4 linked regions of the Caenorhabditis elegans genome follow. The protein of the gene in region 4 purifies or fractionates together with the protein of the main gene of each other region. This does not show direct contact. Each region holds a gene or a part of one and is shown on either strand. Other genes may lie near its edges. The genes, in order: F29B9.11, R04F11.2, atp-4 and ndua-7.

Region 1 (2,912 bases), on a different chromosome or scaffold from region 4:
TGCTGTAAAACAAAACAAAACAAAAAACTCAAAACAACTATTTTCTGAGATCGAAATTAGGACGTCACTTGTCCGGGATGCTTGTCGGGACGATTTTTTCGAACGAGAAATTTCATTTTCCGGTTCATGTCCTCGTTGAAAATCGCCGTTGATGCTTCCATCGACAGTGTTTTTCGTTGCATGTAGGGCTTCTGATAGAATTGAGTGCGGCGAATGATTTTCAGCATTCCTTCTGAATCCATCAATCTGAAATTATTTCAATCTTGAAATTATGTTCTGGGAATTTTTCCAAAGAAAACCTGTTAAGAAGTCCGAAAGCTCCATCGACATCATTGTTCTGCACCATTACTGTTCGAGTTGCGAATCTTGGATGTGAATTCCAAATTCCTTTGAAAAGTTTAATCGCGAACGGCTGAGAAATCGTTCCTCTCCAGGTGAATTGACGTACCATCTTTAAAACAATTATCAAAAAAATTCTAAATGAAAAACCGAATCGAACATTTATCTTTCATGGATGGATAAACCACATTTGACAGCGAATAAAATTGAGAAAAAGCGAAGAGAAAACAAGAATCGATTTATTGTTGTTCTCAAAAGTCTACACAATGGCTCGTGGCATAATATTACTTCTACTGTCTGCGGGCGGCAACACGGGCGTCAATCTCTTCTTGGACTTCTGGGGAGAGAGCATTATCCGGTCTTGGGCGAAGACTATCAAGTCTGAAGAGGACGGAAGTTGGGTATGCCATGAAAGCGACGCAGATGAGTCCGTAAAGGGCAACCTGAAAAAATTGGTGTTATAGTGAATAATATGGATATCTGGATAAATATGTTTTTGAGCAGCTAAATTAAAAGTGAGACAAATTTCAAAACTGTATCTTTTAGTTCAGAAATTAATTTTTCAAATCCATTCAAACGAATGTACAAACTGAAATTTAGTTTTTTTTGGTGAGCTAGTGGTATTTTAAGTTTTACTGCTCACAAGGATAAGTTCAAGACATTTAGCAAATAAAAAATTACCTTCTCGCTGACAGAGGTGAAACGGAGTGGTGGGGTCGAGTCAACTCCCTTGTGAAGCGAGCGACGGATGACATGTTGGCTTCTAGCCAAGGAGAGCACAGCACGGTTCAGCATCCTGCAATAAATCGTTTAAATTTACAGAGTAATTGAGCAAGCATGATAATCCATAGAAAACGAAACAGAGAATACGATTCAGGCGGTTATAAAAACAGAAACTATACGAAAATCGTTAATTCTACACAATGAATCAAAAAATTATTTGATTTTGCTAATGGATGAAGCTTGAAAGCTGAAAAATAGTAAAAATCTGCTTAAAAAATAATCGGCAGGCTGTGAGAGGTTAAAGGCGCAGAGACGGCTGACGGAAAACAAAAACAATCGTTGCGAGACCAGCCGCTTGGCTACGTGCCAAGTGTGAGAATACGGAAGGTGAGAAAGACGGAGACACTGCGAAGCGAGTGAACGGTGAATGCGAGACACCAAAACCCGGAAGTGGACAGGCAGAAATTGATTTTCTCGTTAAAAATTTTTTGTATTCAGAATTGCAATCAATTCAACTAATCAATATTGATATTTTCATCTTAAAGTTTATCTACTAATTAGTATTTAATCCCACAAACTCGTAAATTTCATCGCGACTCACGTTCCCCCGTTTCGCAGTGTCTCTTGTTTCGCATGCTGCGTCTCGTTTCTCTTCTTCTTCACATCTCCTCGAGGCTTACAGTTTTTTCAGCATATATTTCAGTTTTCCATCATTTTTCTGGAGTTTTTTATTGAAAAATGTTGTAACAGAAATAAATTTAAACATTTCGAAGCTATTTTCATGTTATTTTGTCCGTTGTTTCCCTTTCAATCGACTATTCGTTGAAGTTTTCGAGTTTTCCGTTAAAAATCGTTGTTTTCCAGAATCTACACATTCCAAATGGATGGTAATGATATAAATATACAAAAAAACGAGTTTTCTCGAGACCAATCAGCACTTCTAATGATGGATCAGCATTCCGACCATAAGAATCACGAATCGGCAATCGGCGAGCCAGGAATGTCATACACAGCCTCTCAACCGGCTCTTTCCTCTACTGAGCATCAAACGCCATTAGTTTCTGTACGATTTTTTATTTTTCTGCGATTATTCAATGATATTGATTACAGGAAGCAAGCGTCGCAGCTCCTCAAAATCATTTGAATGGCAATTCCCATGAATCGGTTTCCGAAATGGATAGAGTAAGTGTTTTATTCATTTAAAATTTTAAAAAAAGTCTCATCTCAGAATTCGGTTGATTTTGCGATAGAATCAGTGCTCATGAAAGTGAGTGTAACCTCCGATTTCACTGAACTTCCTCCATTTCTCAACGTAATTTTCCAGGCGAGAGCTTACAACAAGATGGGCGCTCCAAAAGATCCGAGGAGAAAGCAGCACAATCCGAAGAGCGAGCCTAAAATCGAGCCACATGTGACAGATTCATCGGATAATCAGGCTGCAATGAGCAACAAGATGGAAGCGGAAGCGCCGAAGATGGAGTCAAATCAGAACTACGTCAGCAACGGATCTGAGGTATGGTTTATTCTGAAATGTGGAAGATTATTTTCATTCAAAAAAAATTTATTTATAAATTTATAAATTTTTGAAAAAATTCAAATTTCCCGTGGCAATATCATACTGAACTTTTAAATGAAGAAAAAAAATTAATTGATAAATATCATCAAATTTTATTCCAGCCTCCATTCCGTTTCGTTTCAATTTCGAATTTCGACGAAATGAAAACAAAAAAGAAAGAAGTTCAAGAAGAATTGAAGCTTGAGGTGGACTCGGACAGTGAAGAAGATGATGTCCCAGAGCAGAAAACTCCAAAGGAATCGGATCGATGTGGAGGATGCGGAAAATTTACTCA
Region 2 (3,817 bases), on a different chromosome or scaffold from region 4:
ATAAAGTGCCCATAGCGGATCCCCTTTTGATTTCACATAATCTTCAAGGATGCTGAAAATTGATAAATTCATTTAAAAACGTGTACAGTATCATACATACCTTGTGGCTTCTGACCTTGGTAGTGATGTCTGCTTTATGAAATTTGTGAGTGTCAGAGGGTCGCACACATCATCGAGTATTGAGGTGAAATTCTCCACCATCTACAAAATGAAATGAATATATTCAACGAATGAGGAAAACAAATATTTAGAAGGTTTGTGAACCAAATAAGTTTCAAAGAAAACGATATTTCAGAGAGAACAATAAACATTTTTATTTTGAAACAAAAAAAACAAGAGTACCAGTATCACATAAAACTACTTGATCTAGTAAAACCCTAAACAAAAATGAACACTAATTTTTGTCGCCATCAGGCAGCAAATCAATCTCGTCAGTATTAACATCATAATCAACAAATGCTGTTTCCATACGATGCCATCTACCGAGAGCTCCAATGTCAACAATGTTCCTCCACAACTCTGTCCATGGCCAATCTTTTAGATTTGAATCTTGTGAAGAATATATTCTAAGTTTATCGTTGTAATCGCTAGCAACCAAGAGCGAAAAGAACCAGAGATTGTAATAATGCAATCGATTTTGGCTGATGAGAAAGTCGCGAGCAGTTAATTCTTTAGCTGAAAATAGCCATTACTTCATAGCATTTAGAATGTGGAACATACTTGTAGCCGGATTATGCTCAGAATTCGGGACCAAAACTAACTTTTGTCGTCTCTCGCATAAATAATCATACATTTCCAGCTCTGTTGGATTTGTCTGATATGCATAGGTTAAAAAACCGAGCCCAGAGAAAACAACTCCTGAAATTGATCAATAAGAATGATAGGTAGAGAGGTGTCATACCAGCTTTAACAGGTCTATCTTTACATCCTTGGACAGTTTCCCTAGCTACAGTAGCATAATCATTTCCCATTCGTTTAAAATATTCTTTGATGCTGATTCCGGTCCGCTGGAAAAAGCCTTTCACTGAAGCAGCAGCCATCTGAAATGAATAATTGTTAACGAAACAACTGAATAAAAAAAGATAACGAAACGAAAACGTTTAAAATAACTTTTAAAAGACAAACGTATGCAAATTAACAGCATAACGAATAGGTAAAACGGCTTTTTGAAGAACTCGGAAAAAATAAAGGCAATATTCGAGATTTTTGATTCTTGACAGAATAAGTAAGTAGTCAAAAGAAGAAATGCAATGTAAAATACTTTTGCAAACATTTTTGAACGCAAAATAATTTTTTTTTGAAAAAAAAATCTAACTGCCAAACGACACTCCGAAATAACGCAGGTCTCGCTTCGATGAGGGGGTACGGTGACACTCGTTTCAGCTGTAGCATTTTCTTTCTTTTCGCGCGGTGCTGTGGTAATATCAATATTTTTCCTGTTTTTAGTGAGTTTCTGTTGATTTTGATAATTTTTTTCAAACAAGTTTATCCAGCTTACAAACCCGAAAACGTGATCAATAAATTTCTCTTACCCACATACGGGGAACGTTATTTGGTTTACTTGAAGTTCTTTACATTCGCTTTGTATATTTTCTCACAAATTTATTAATTCTTTTTGAATATTTTTCACTTATTATCATTTTTCAGATGTCGGCCCCACTCAAACATCCGAACGCTGTGGTTCTCCAGCCACCAACGGTCACCATCTCCCCACTTATCCGTTTCGGACGTTATGCGGCGCTCTCCCTTGGAGTTGTCTATGGTAAGTCGTTTCAAACATTTTTCATACGTGACTTTTGAAAACAGTGACTGTTAATACAGATTGAATTTATCTTTTTTCAAGAGTTCTACTGTCCTCCTACAATTTTACAATTAAAAAAAGCAGTATTCCAAGATAATTACAGTTTCCGTAAACCTTCTTCAGAAGATAAAAATTATTTTCAGGATTTTTCCGTCTTCGCCAGATTCGCGAGTACCACGCCGATATTCGTGAGTGGGATCACGAAAAGGCTGTTGCCGCTGCAGAGGAAGCCGCCAAGAAGAAGAAGTGGCTTGCCAAGGACGAGATGAGATACCTCATGCAGGTAAGATATTTCTATCAAAAAATGAATACATGAAAATTATCTGAATGTAATTTTGGGAGAAACGATTGAAACTATCTCGGAATTTTTTTTTCTTTTCTGGTAAATCCCCTAATTTTGTTAGCGATGTTACCGTTACTATTTTATGTCTAAAAAAATTTGGTTCAGGAAACTCAGAAACAAGCTTTGTGAAAATAGAGCGATATTTTTTGAAACTTAAAATGTTTAAAATTTATTTATCGGAAAATATGGCTTCTAGTAGCTTCACTTTAAACTAATGCTTATTATTTTGTCGAATTAGTCTCTGGAAATGATTAGACTCACATGCTCTCCATTATTAAAAAACAAAACTCTAATGCTTTTTTTTTTGTAAAAACAGATTATTGGAAATCAATGCAAATTTTTTCAATATAATTTTTGTGAATCTTAAATTTGAGTTTTGCCCGACCAAAATTTTTGAAAATTCGCTGTGAAATTTTACGGTGGTTTTTCAATTCTTATTATGGAAAATGCATCACTGTCGGAAGTTATCTTTTACAGCAACAAAATATTAATACCAAGAGAATATTTTTAAAACCCTAAAAATATTAGGTTGATATAATGTCTCCAGTGAGATAGTTTAGAAATGTAATTATTTGCAGTACTAGTCGGAAAATGTTGAAATTATTGAACACAGCTTCTGAAAAAAGTTTATTCTTGAAAACGATGTGGTACACGATCAATTTTTTTGGCATAGAAACACTTTGACGACGTTGGCAGAAATTATTTTAAGATTGCGTTGCTATTTTTGTTATGTATTAATTTATGCAATATTAAAAAAGCGATGTTTGCGAAGAGTAAAACTTTTATCGCTGTTTTCATTTCAGGTTGTCAACATTCCTTTCGAAGAGGGAGTCAAGCAATTCGGAGTTGCCGATCTCTACAAGGAGGATTAAGACGACGGTCACGAAGACACACTATCAGACCCAGGAGAATTATCCCTTTTTCTTTTATTAGTTCAATGAATACCTCTCCGAAACAGAGACATTTCTTCTATATTTGGTAGTGTGTGTTTAATTGTATTCTTCTTTTAAATTTTAAAGTTTCTCGTTTTGTTTAAAGTAGCTGCAAATTTCAGTAAATTACAAATTTTATTTTTTTGAAAAAATCGAATACATAAGATGAGCCTGACTCGAAGTCATCGAAAAAATCACATTTGGAAAGAAGTCAAGGGGTTGGTCAATTTGAAAAGACGGGGTTGATAAAAAACTGTTGAAATTTTATTTTTAATGTAAAAAACCTAAAATAAATAAATAATTTAGGATAAGAAAAACGAGGATATGTAAGAGGAATCTGAAGAATTTCGATTCTAAGTTCGATAATTTTGTGGGAAGTTGTTCAAGGCTTTATGGAAACTGGGGAAAGCATGATGGGAAACAGTAAAAAAACATAATCCTAGAAACTGGATGTTAGGTTGAAAGACTCCATGGATTAAGAGAACTATAAAATGACCAGTAATATTAATTGTCGATGTCAGCAATAGGTTCTTCCGGTTGAAGTTGTTTACAGTACTGGAAAAGAATCTTCTGATAATATTCTCGAGGTGTCAATGTTCGAGCGGTGGAGCATCTGAAAGTTGAGAGATTGTGGATGGATTCAAAATATACTAAATTGTAAAAAAGAACAGTACTAACCTGCTAGTATTCAAATCAAGACTCTCCATACTCTGCAAAACTCGATCAGATGCAAATGAAAGT
Region 3 (3,059 bases), on a different chromosome or scaffold from region 4:
CTGTTACATCAGTAACGAACCTTTCGCTTCGTGAGCTCTCGTTTCTGGACATGCGATATTTGTCGTTGTGAGTTTACAGAGACTCTGGTCGATGACTCCTTTGAAAATTCGACCATCTTAAATATTGGAAATGGAATTTTAAAAATGCGTGAGAGAAAAAAACACAAACCTTTTATTAATTTTGAAATGACTAGAGTTTTGAATCCATTTCGGCGGAACGAAAACCTGCAATTTGAAATCGTGTGGTATATGAGTAGCAAATAAAAGGTCGTCTGTCGCGTCTGCGCAATGGTGCTGGGTTAGTGTCTGTGTGATGACGTAGGAGGCTTGCGGACAGACAGGTCTGCCTAATGGTGCACCCCAAATCGGCAATGGGGTGCCGTTCAAAAGAGTATTCACGGGTTGGGGAAGAGTTTGAATATGTTTGCTCGTAGAACAACTGTACAACCCATGATTTGATTGAACGAGTTTAAAATGGCTGATAACAAGCCACTTTATCGAAAAATTTTGAATGAGAATAATAAAAATAAGCTTCGTGACTAAAACAACAAAGTTTACAAAAGAACAGAGAGAAATTTCAAAAATTAAGGAACAAAAACGTTCATTCGGTCTATAGACGATCTATTACAAAAAGAAACAATACACCATTCAAAATCGAGAGCTTAAATTTATTGCTTGAGGGCAGCATTACGGGCGGCTTGTTCGGCTTTCTTGGCATCACGGGAGGCAACATATTCAGAGTGGTCCTTCTTGACTCCTTCAAGAAGCGAAGCCAATGTTTGTCCTTCAAGAGCGGATTGAACTGCAGAGTCAACCTGGAAACGAGCATTTTAATGTTTTTTTTTAACTCAGCACTTGGAACAGCCTATTAATAATCTAAAATTTATAAGATATACATTAATCGGGTTACTTCTGGTTCTCAGATTATCAAATATATTTACAAAAACAAAAGCTGATTTTTTAAAAATTATTTGAAACTATTTTGGTTATTAATCGACAAAAATAAGGATGTTTCTTTAATTTACTTCGATAATTCATTTAAAAATTGTTCAATCGAGCGATACTTTTGTAACTGAAATTTTTTTTAGCTAATTTTATTTTTTAAATAAATCTTTGTTTGTTTGTCTTCATTTATATTACCTTAGCAGCTTCAAAGTTAGTTGGGAGCTTCGAAACAACATCGGCGTTGGCGAGCTGGAACTTGGTGGCCAATCTGTTGAGCTCTTCCTGGAGAGCCTTCTTAACGGCTGGATCAGAGTTAGCCAGGTTACCGGCGTTCTTGGCGATTTCGCGGATCTTGGTGACGAAAGTCTGCTGGATCAAGTCCTGGCGGCAAGCCGCGGTGGTCGAAAGAGAACGGACTGATTGGACTGCGCGGAACATACCTGAATATAAATTTAGAAATTGTTTTCTGTTCAAAGGATGTTTATAAGTATCGAAGAAAAGGCACCGGAAACCAGGAAAATCAAACAAAGCGCAAAATTCCACAAAACAATGATTTATTAAAATATTTACAAAAATAAACATACTCAAGAGAGGGGAGGAAAATTTAAAAAAAAAATGAAAATGAACGTTTGGCGGATCAATGAAGATTGCGAGCATATTTCTGAAAATATCGGGAATGAAAATTAATAAAATTATTGCTTTAAATTGAAACTACACGAATTTTTAATATTTGGGGACACTTTTCATGCGGGAATTGGTTATGGACTAGAGTTTATGGAATGATTAGAAGATCCGGTGAAAAAATTGACTAGGAATTTGTGAAAAAAAAAAGAAGTTAAAAAATAGGGCGAGACGGAAGAAGAATAGTGGTGTGAAAGTACGTAAGAGTGAACATTGACCGCACGACTAGTCCGCAAACACCGAGCCTACTGTACGCCATTTCGCGTTTGCCACCTCCACCAGCATGTCTCGATTTTATGCCGAGAAGCGGAAAATGAACTGAAACTAGTATTATTTTTTCTGTATTTATTTGTTATCGAATTGGTACTAGTTAGCTGAAGCATAAAAACAAAGGATGTGAAGGACCTTCGAAACATAAGGAGCCTTTGGAGGTTACAAACGGGAAATATCCGTACAATAACTGATTTGAATAGTTTATTGTTAGATGTTTGGACATAAGTTAGTGAGGCAAATTGGAAAGCAACAAAAATATGTGAATATGATAAGCTAAATATCACGTATTTTCGCAGTAATTAATCATCCTGTACATTTCTAGAACATTTCTGAAAAATTGTACTGCGATTTGTGAATTAATCTAGTGAAGCAGGTGCTGACTGTGTGAGAATCTATTGAGCTGATTTTCCTCTGCATACCTGGAAGAGCATTCCAAAAACGAATGAGGCCATTACGATAGGAAGAGTCGCAACATTCATCAGATTCAGAGAGATTCGTTTTCCCGTGAGGCGTCGCATTTGATCGAGCTTTTGTTGGCTTAGTGGCGGGTAACGAGCTCTGAAATTAATGCGATTAGGTATCGAAGGTTCGGAAAAAACGTACGCTAAAAGAGATTCTCCGAAGAATCCTCTGTGAAGCACAGACTTTTCATGGGTGAATGTGTCAAATCCATACTTTCCACGGTAACGTCCCATTCCAGAGACACCTACTCCTCCGAACGGGAGAGTATCAACTGTAATTCAAAAATTATTCAGATATTTTAAAATTAAAATAGCATACCAGTAATGTGCATCAACACATCGTTAACAGTCACACCACCACTGCTAGTCTCATTCAAAAGGCGTTTAACTTTAGCTTCATTTCTTGTGAAAATGTAAGCAGCCAGAGGCTTCTCTCCATCAGCAATGTACTCAAGCGACTCCGAGAAAGACTGGACAGTGATGATGGGCAGGACTGGACCAAAAATCTCATCATGCATGAATGGATCAGATTTCTCAACGTCAAGGACAGTTGGAGGGATGTAGAGATCTGCACGATCACGTTCTCCACCGATAAGAACAGCTCCTTGAGTTTTATCGAGAAGCCCAGAGATGCGACTGGAAGAAGAGTTCAGATTAAATTATATAAATATTGTAAATAGTTAAATAAACTAACTCGAA
Region 4 (3,485 bases):
AACTTCAAATCCAGGTGGAAAAAACAAATTCCAACTTGTCCACGTGTAGTACAAAACCCCTCGTAAATCGACACTCATTAAACTGTGCCGCAGGCTTGCAAGACCGGTTTTTTTGTGTGAAACGGTGCTCAAATTCACAAAATTTCTGATTTTTTTCGCTAAAAATCACGAAATTCAGCTTAAAAATCATTGAAAACCGGAATTTTTTTTCTCTCCAATTTTCCAAGGCTACCTGTGGAATGTAGTAATACCACTGATCCCAGACGTAGGTCTTGAAGGTCTTAACAAAGGCCTGATCGAAGAATCCCTTGTAGGCCTTTTGCTCGTTTGGAGCAAGCGCGAAGCGGTGCTCTCCGTACATCTTGCCGAGATTTCCAAAGTGTTTGCCCATTGAAACGACGGTCGGTCTCATTGTTGTCTGGAAGTGGAAGTATTTGGAAAATTTAATTGATAAATTAGAATAATAAAAATGGTAAAATAACAAAGAAAATCGATATTTCAAGGCTACAAAAACCAGGAAAAAGGGAAAAAATGCAGGGAAACCCCTAAAAACCGCGAGAAAAAAGCTTCATTTCTGTCACATTCTGAACCACTAAAATTAATTTACAAAAAAAAAACGCTTAGGCGCTCTTCGTGAACTTGTCGAAACGCTGCAAATACTCGAATTCGGTGTTCTTCTGCTGGCTGGCCAGCTCATTCTGCTTGGATCGGCTCCATTCGGCTCCAAAACCAGGGGTTGGAGCTGTCAATCCGAAGTTTGTGGCGACTCCTTGATTCACTTGCGCTGGCTGTGCTTTTTCTCCTCCAACAAACTCGCCAGACGAGTAGAGCACTTTCGGAGCATCGACGTTTCGGCGGCCGTCTCTGCAAAAAAAATTTGATGATTTTTTGAGAGAATTTAAATTTTTAATGGACTACTCCCTGTGGGGAAATTGCTTTAAAACATGCCTATGGGGCCACAATGACCGAATATCATGATAAAAAAATTTTAAAAATTTTTCTGGATTTTATATGATTTTTTGAAAATTGAAAAAATCTCAGTTTTCCCCCCTAATTCCTATTTGAATTTCCGCCAATTGAACTCGTTCGTTGGAGCGCGCTTGCATTATTTTCGTTAATTTTTTAAAATTTATTTTCATTATTTCACTGATTTTCTTTATTTTTTGAAGGTTTTTAATCGGAAAATGAAAGAAATAAACAAGAAAAATGCAAAATTTTTATTAAGAAGTAACTGAAAATGGCTAAAACTCTGATTAATACTAATTTCAGGCTCGTCGTCGTCGGATCGCATAATAGGCATTTTCGGCTACTTTTTAATAAGGACTGTGAATTTTCTTGCTTATTTCTTTCATTTTCCGATTAAAACCCCAAAAAAATAGAGAAAATCAGTGAAATAATGAAAATAAATTTTAAAAAATTAACGAAAATAATGCAAGCGCGCTCCAACGAACGAGTTCAATTGGCGGAAATTCAAATAGAAATTAGGGGTGAAAACTGAGAATTTTTCAATTTTCAAAAAATCATATAAAATCTAGAAAAAACTTTTAAATTTTTTTATCATGATATTCGGTCATTGTGGTACCAAAGGCGTGATTTAAAGCAATTTCCCCACAGGGTGGAATTTTTTGAACCTTGTCAAGTAATAATTATCAGCGAGCTTGTGATGAACACCTCCTGGAAGAGCCGGGAGCTCTGCGGAGCAAGGACGAGCGGATTGGGTGTTTGGGAAGCGGAGAGGGTTCTGGTAGACTGCTTTTCCGTCCGGGCCGGCGATTCCTGGTGGCGGGGTGATGGGGAGTCGGTCGGAAGCCAACAGCTTTTCTGGAAATTTCTAAATTTTCATTAATTTGTTAATATTGGAGCGCAAAAAACGGAAAAAGAAAAACTTACGCTTAAGCCAGTTCCAGAATGGCGTCTGGGTGCGATTTTGAACAGTGGCCGCCGCAATTTTGCGACCGCTCATTGTCGGTCTGGAAAATTTATATTTTTATAAACAAATTGGGAAGCTTGGCTTAGAATAAATATATATTATAAACAAAACGAGCTTTTCTCGATTTTTCCAAGAAAAAAACTGGAGAAAACTAGCAATTTAGAAGAAAAAAAACCATTTTTCTTCAAAATAGCATTTCTCAGCCAAATTTTGCTCAAATCGATTCGGATCTGGATTTTCGACTTAAAATAACTCTAATAACAAGCTTAACTGATTTTTCAACAAAATTATCCATAAAAAATCACGGAAAATCGATAAAATCTGAAAAGAAAGCGATTAAAAAGTAAATAAATAAATGACCGGTCGTCAGTTGGTGCATTTGCGCGTCACGGTGTTTGCACACAATGCATCACATTTTACGGGCAATGTGCCTATGGTAATTAATTTATATAAATAAACATGATTTTATAGTTGAAAGTCGGGCTTTTTAGAGTCAATAAAAGAATAATTTATTGTGAAAATAAGCAAAAAAGAAAAATGAATAAATCTACAAAATCACAAGTCTTGATAAGCATTAGAACGGAATGGATGTGCTGGTTCGATCACAATATTCTGACGTTCGGTATCCGAAGTTGTCTGTACCTCACGATAGATTACAGTACATGGGACAGCGTAGAAAATTGTTTGTACGATGAAGAAAACCTGAAATTAACATATATATTGCCTAAAAATCCCCCTTAAAACCCACCCCAGCAGCAATATATCCCGCAGAAGTGCCGAAAAGCGACCGATTCGCGAACGAAAACGAAAGCCAGACGGAAATCACGGAGAGGACCGCCAAAATAAAGGAATACACGAGCTCCACGACATTCCACGCGATGCTTCCATTCGAAATACTCTCCATGAGCTCATCCTGAATCCGCAGGGCGAAGATTACCGTTGCCGCCGCGGAAATCTGGAAATTCAGGGGGTTGATGGGGGTAAAAATTTAATAAAAGGATAAACTAACAATTAATTGAACAATTAGAGTAAACCAAAGAATCCCATTATCCCCGGAAGCCGTCGATCCAATGCAAACCGCCAGAATTACAGCGTTAATCTGAAAAATTGAACATGGTGCATCGGGAAATTAAAAAAATCAATAAACATACCGCTTGCAATGGCTTAAAATAGTGTGGAAGTTTGAGAAAAACGTTATCCTCATTTTCGAATATGTTTCCAAGAGTTTGCATTTTTTTTTAAATTTTGTGTTGCAAAAAAAATTCAGCGAATTCGAAATTTTATCGATTAAAACTGTAATAATACGTGCACAGTGATTCTGTCTGTTGTTGTGCTCACACACGTATCTTATCAGTAAACATTATAGTTCACATGATTTGGGGGTTATTGTGTAGTTTGTAGTGTATTATTGGTGATAGAAATACGGTTCCCGGGGTCTCGACACGACAAATTTTTGTTAGATGCGAAAAGGTGTGTGCGTCTTTAAAAAGAGTACTGTAGTTTAAAACTTTTGTTGCTGCGGACTTTTTATTGAATTTTTTTAAATTTAGGTTTT

The links.
Region 1: the proteins of ndua-7 (region 4) and F29B9.11 fractionate together in Caenorhabditis elegans (co-fractionation; one large-scale study listed by BioGRID). This does not show direct contact.
Region 2: the proteins of ndua-7 (region 4) and R04F11.2 fractionate together in Caenorhabditis elegans (co-fractionation; one large-scale study listed by BioGRID). This does not show direct contact.
Region 3: the proteins of ndua-7 (region 4) and atp-4 fractionate together in Caenorhabditis elegans (co-fractionation; one large-scale study listed by BioGRID). This does not show direct contact.

Annotation. Positions count from the first base shown.
Region 1 is NC_003282.8:4,659,067-4,661,978, forward strand, and holds F29B9.11 (Cytochrome c oxidase polypeptide VIIc), read right to left. Parts: upstream 1,136-2,912; 5' UTR 1,135-1,135; coding exon 1,021-1,134; intron 783-1,020; coding exon 630-782; 3' UTR 565-629; downstream 1-564. Other genes in the region: mrps-21 (Mitochondrial Ribosomal Protein, Small), read right to left, coding at 57-246, 300-451; jmjd-1.2 (JmjC domain-containing protein), read left to right, coding at 1,943-2,125, 2,173-2,244, 2,291-2,575, 2,740-2,912.
Region 2 is NC_003283.11:12,316,980-12,320,796, forward strand, and holds R04F11.2 (ATP synthase F(0) complex subunit e, mitochondrial), read left to right. Parts: upstream 1-1,647; coding exon 1,648-1,762; intron 1,763-1,944; coding exon 1,945-2,084; intron 2,085-2,947; coding exon 2,948-3,016; 3' UTR 3,017-3,250; downstream 3,251-3,817. Other genes in the region: R04F11.3 (DNA polymerase delta subunit 3), read right to left, coding at 1-52, 101-201; R04F11.5 (Mitochondrial import inner membrane translocase subunit Tim29), read right to left, coding at 395-675, 721-858, 902-1,040; twk-13 (Potassium channel domain-containing protein), read right to left, coding at 3,581-3,689, 3,755-3,817.
Region 3 is NC_003283.11:6,425,728-6,428,786, forward strand, and holds atp-4 (ATP synthase-coupling factor 6, mitochondrial), read right to left. Parts: upstream 1,386-3,059; 5' UTR 1,384-1,385; coding exon 1,141-1,383; intron 816-1,140; coding exon 669-815; 3' UTR 519-668; downstream 1-518. Other genes in the region: T05H4.11 (DUF4706 domain-containing protein), read right to left, coding at 21-116; alh-4 (Aldehyde dehydrogenase), read right to left, coding at 2,199-2,228, 2,319-2,457, 2,503-2,632, 2,680-2,996, 3,055-3,059.
Region 4 is NC_003280.10:13,492,631-13,496,115, forward strand, and holds ndua-7 (NADH dehydrogenase [ubiquinone] 1 alpha subcomplex subunit 7), read right to left. Parts: upstream 1,971-3,485; 5' UTR 1,964-1,970; coding exon 1,891-1,963; intron 1,822-1,890; coding exon 1,632-1,821; intron 865-1,631; coding exon 621-864; 3' UTR 562-620; downstream 1-561. Other genes in the region: F45H10.2 (Cytochrome b-c1 complex subunit 8), read right to left, coding at 233-412; drr-1 (MARVEL domain-containing protein), read right to left, coding at 2,486-2,632, 2,679-2,885, 2,940-3,029, 3,082-3,162.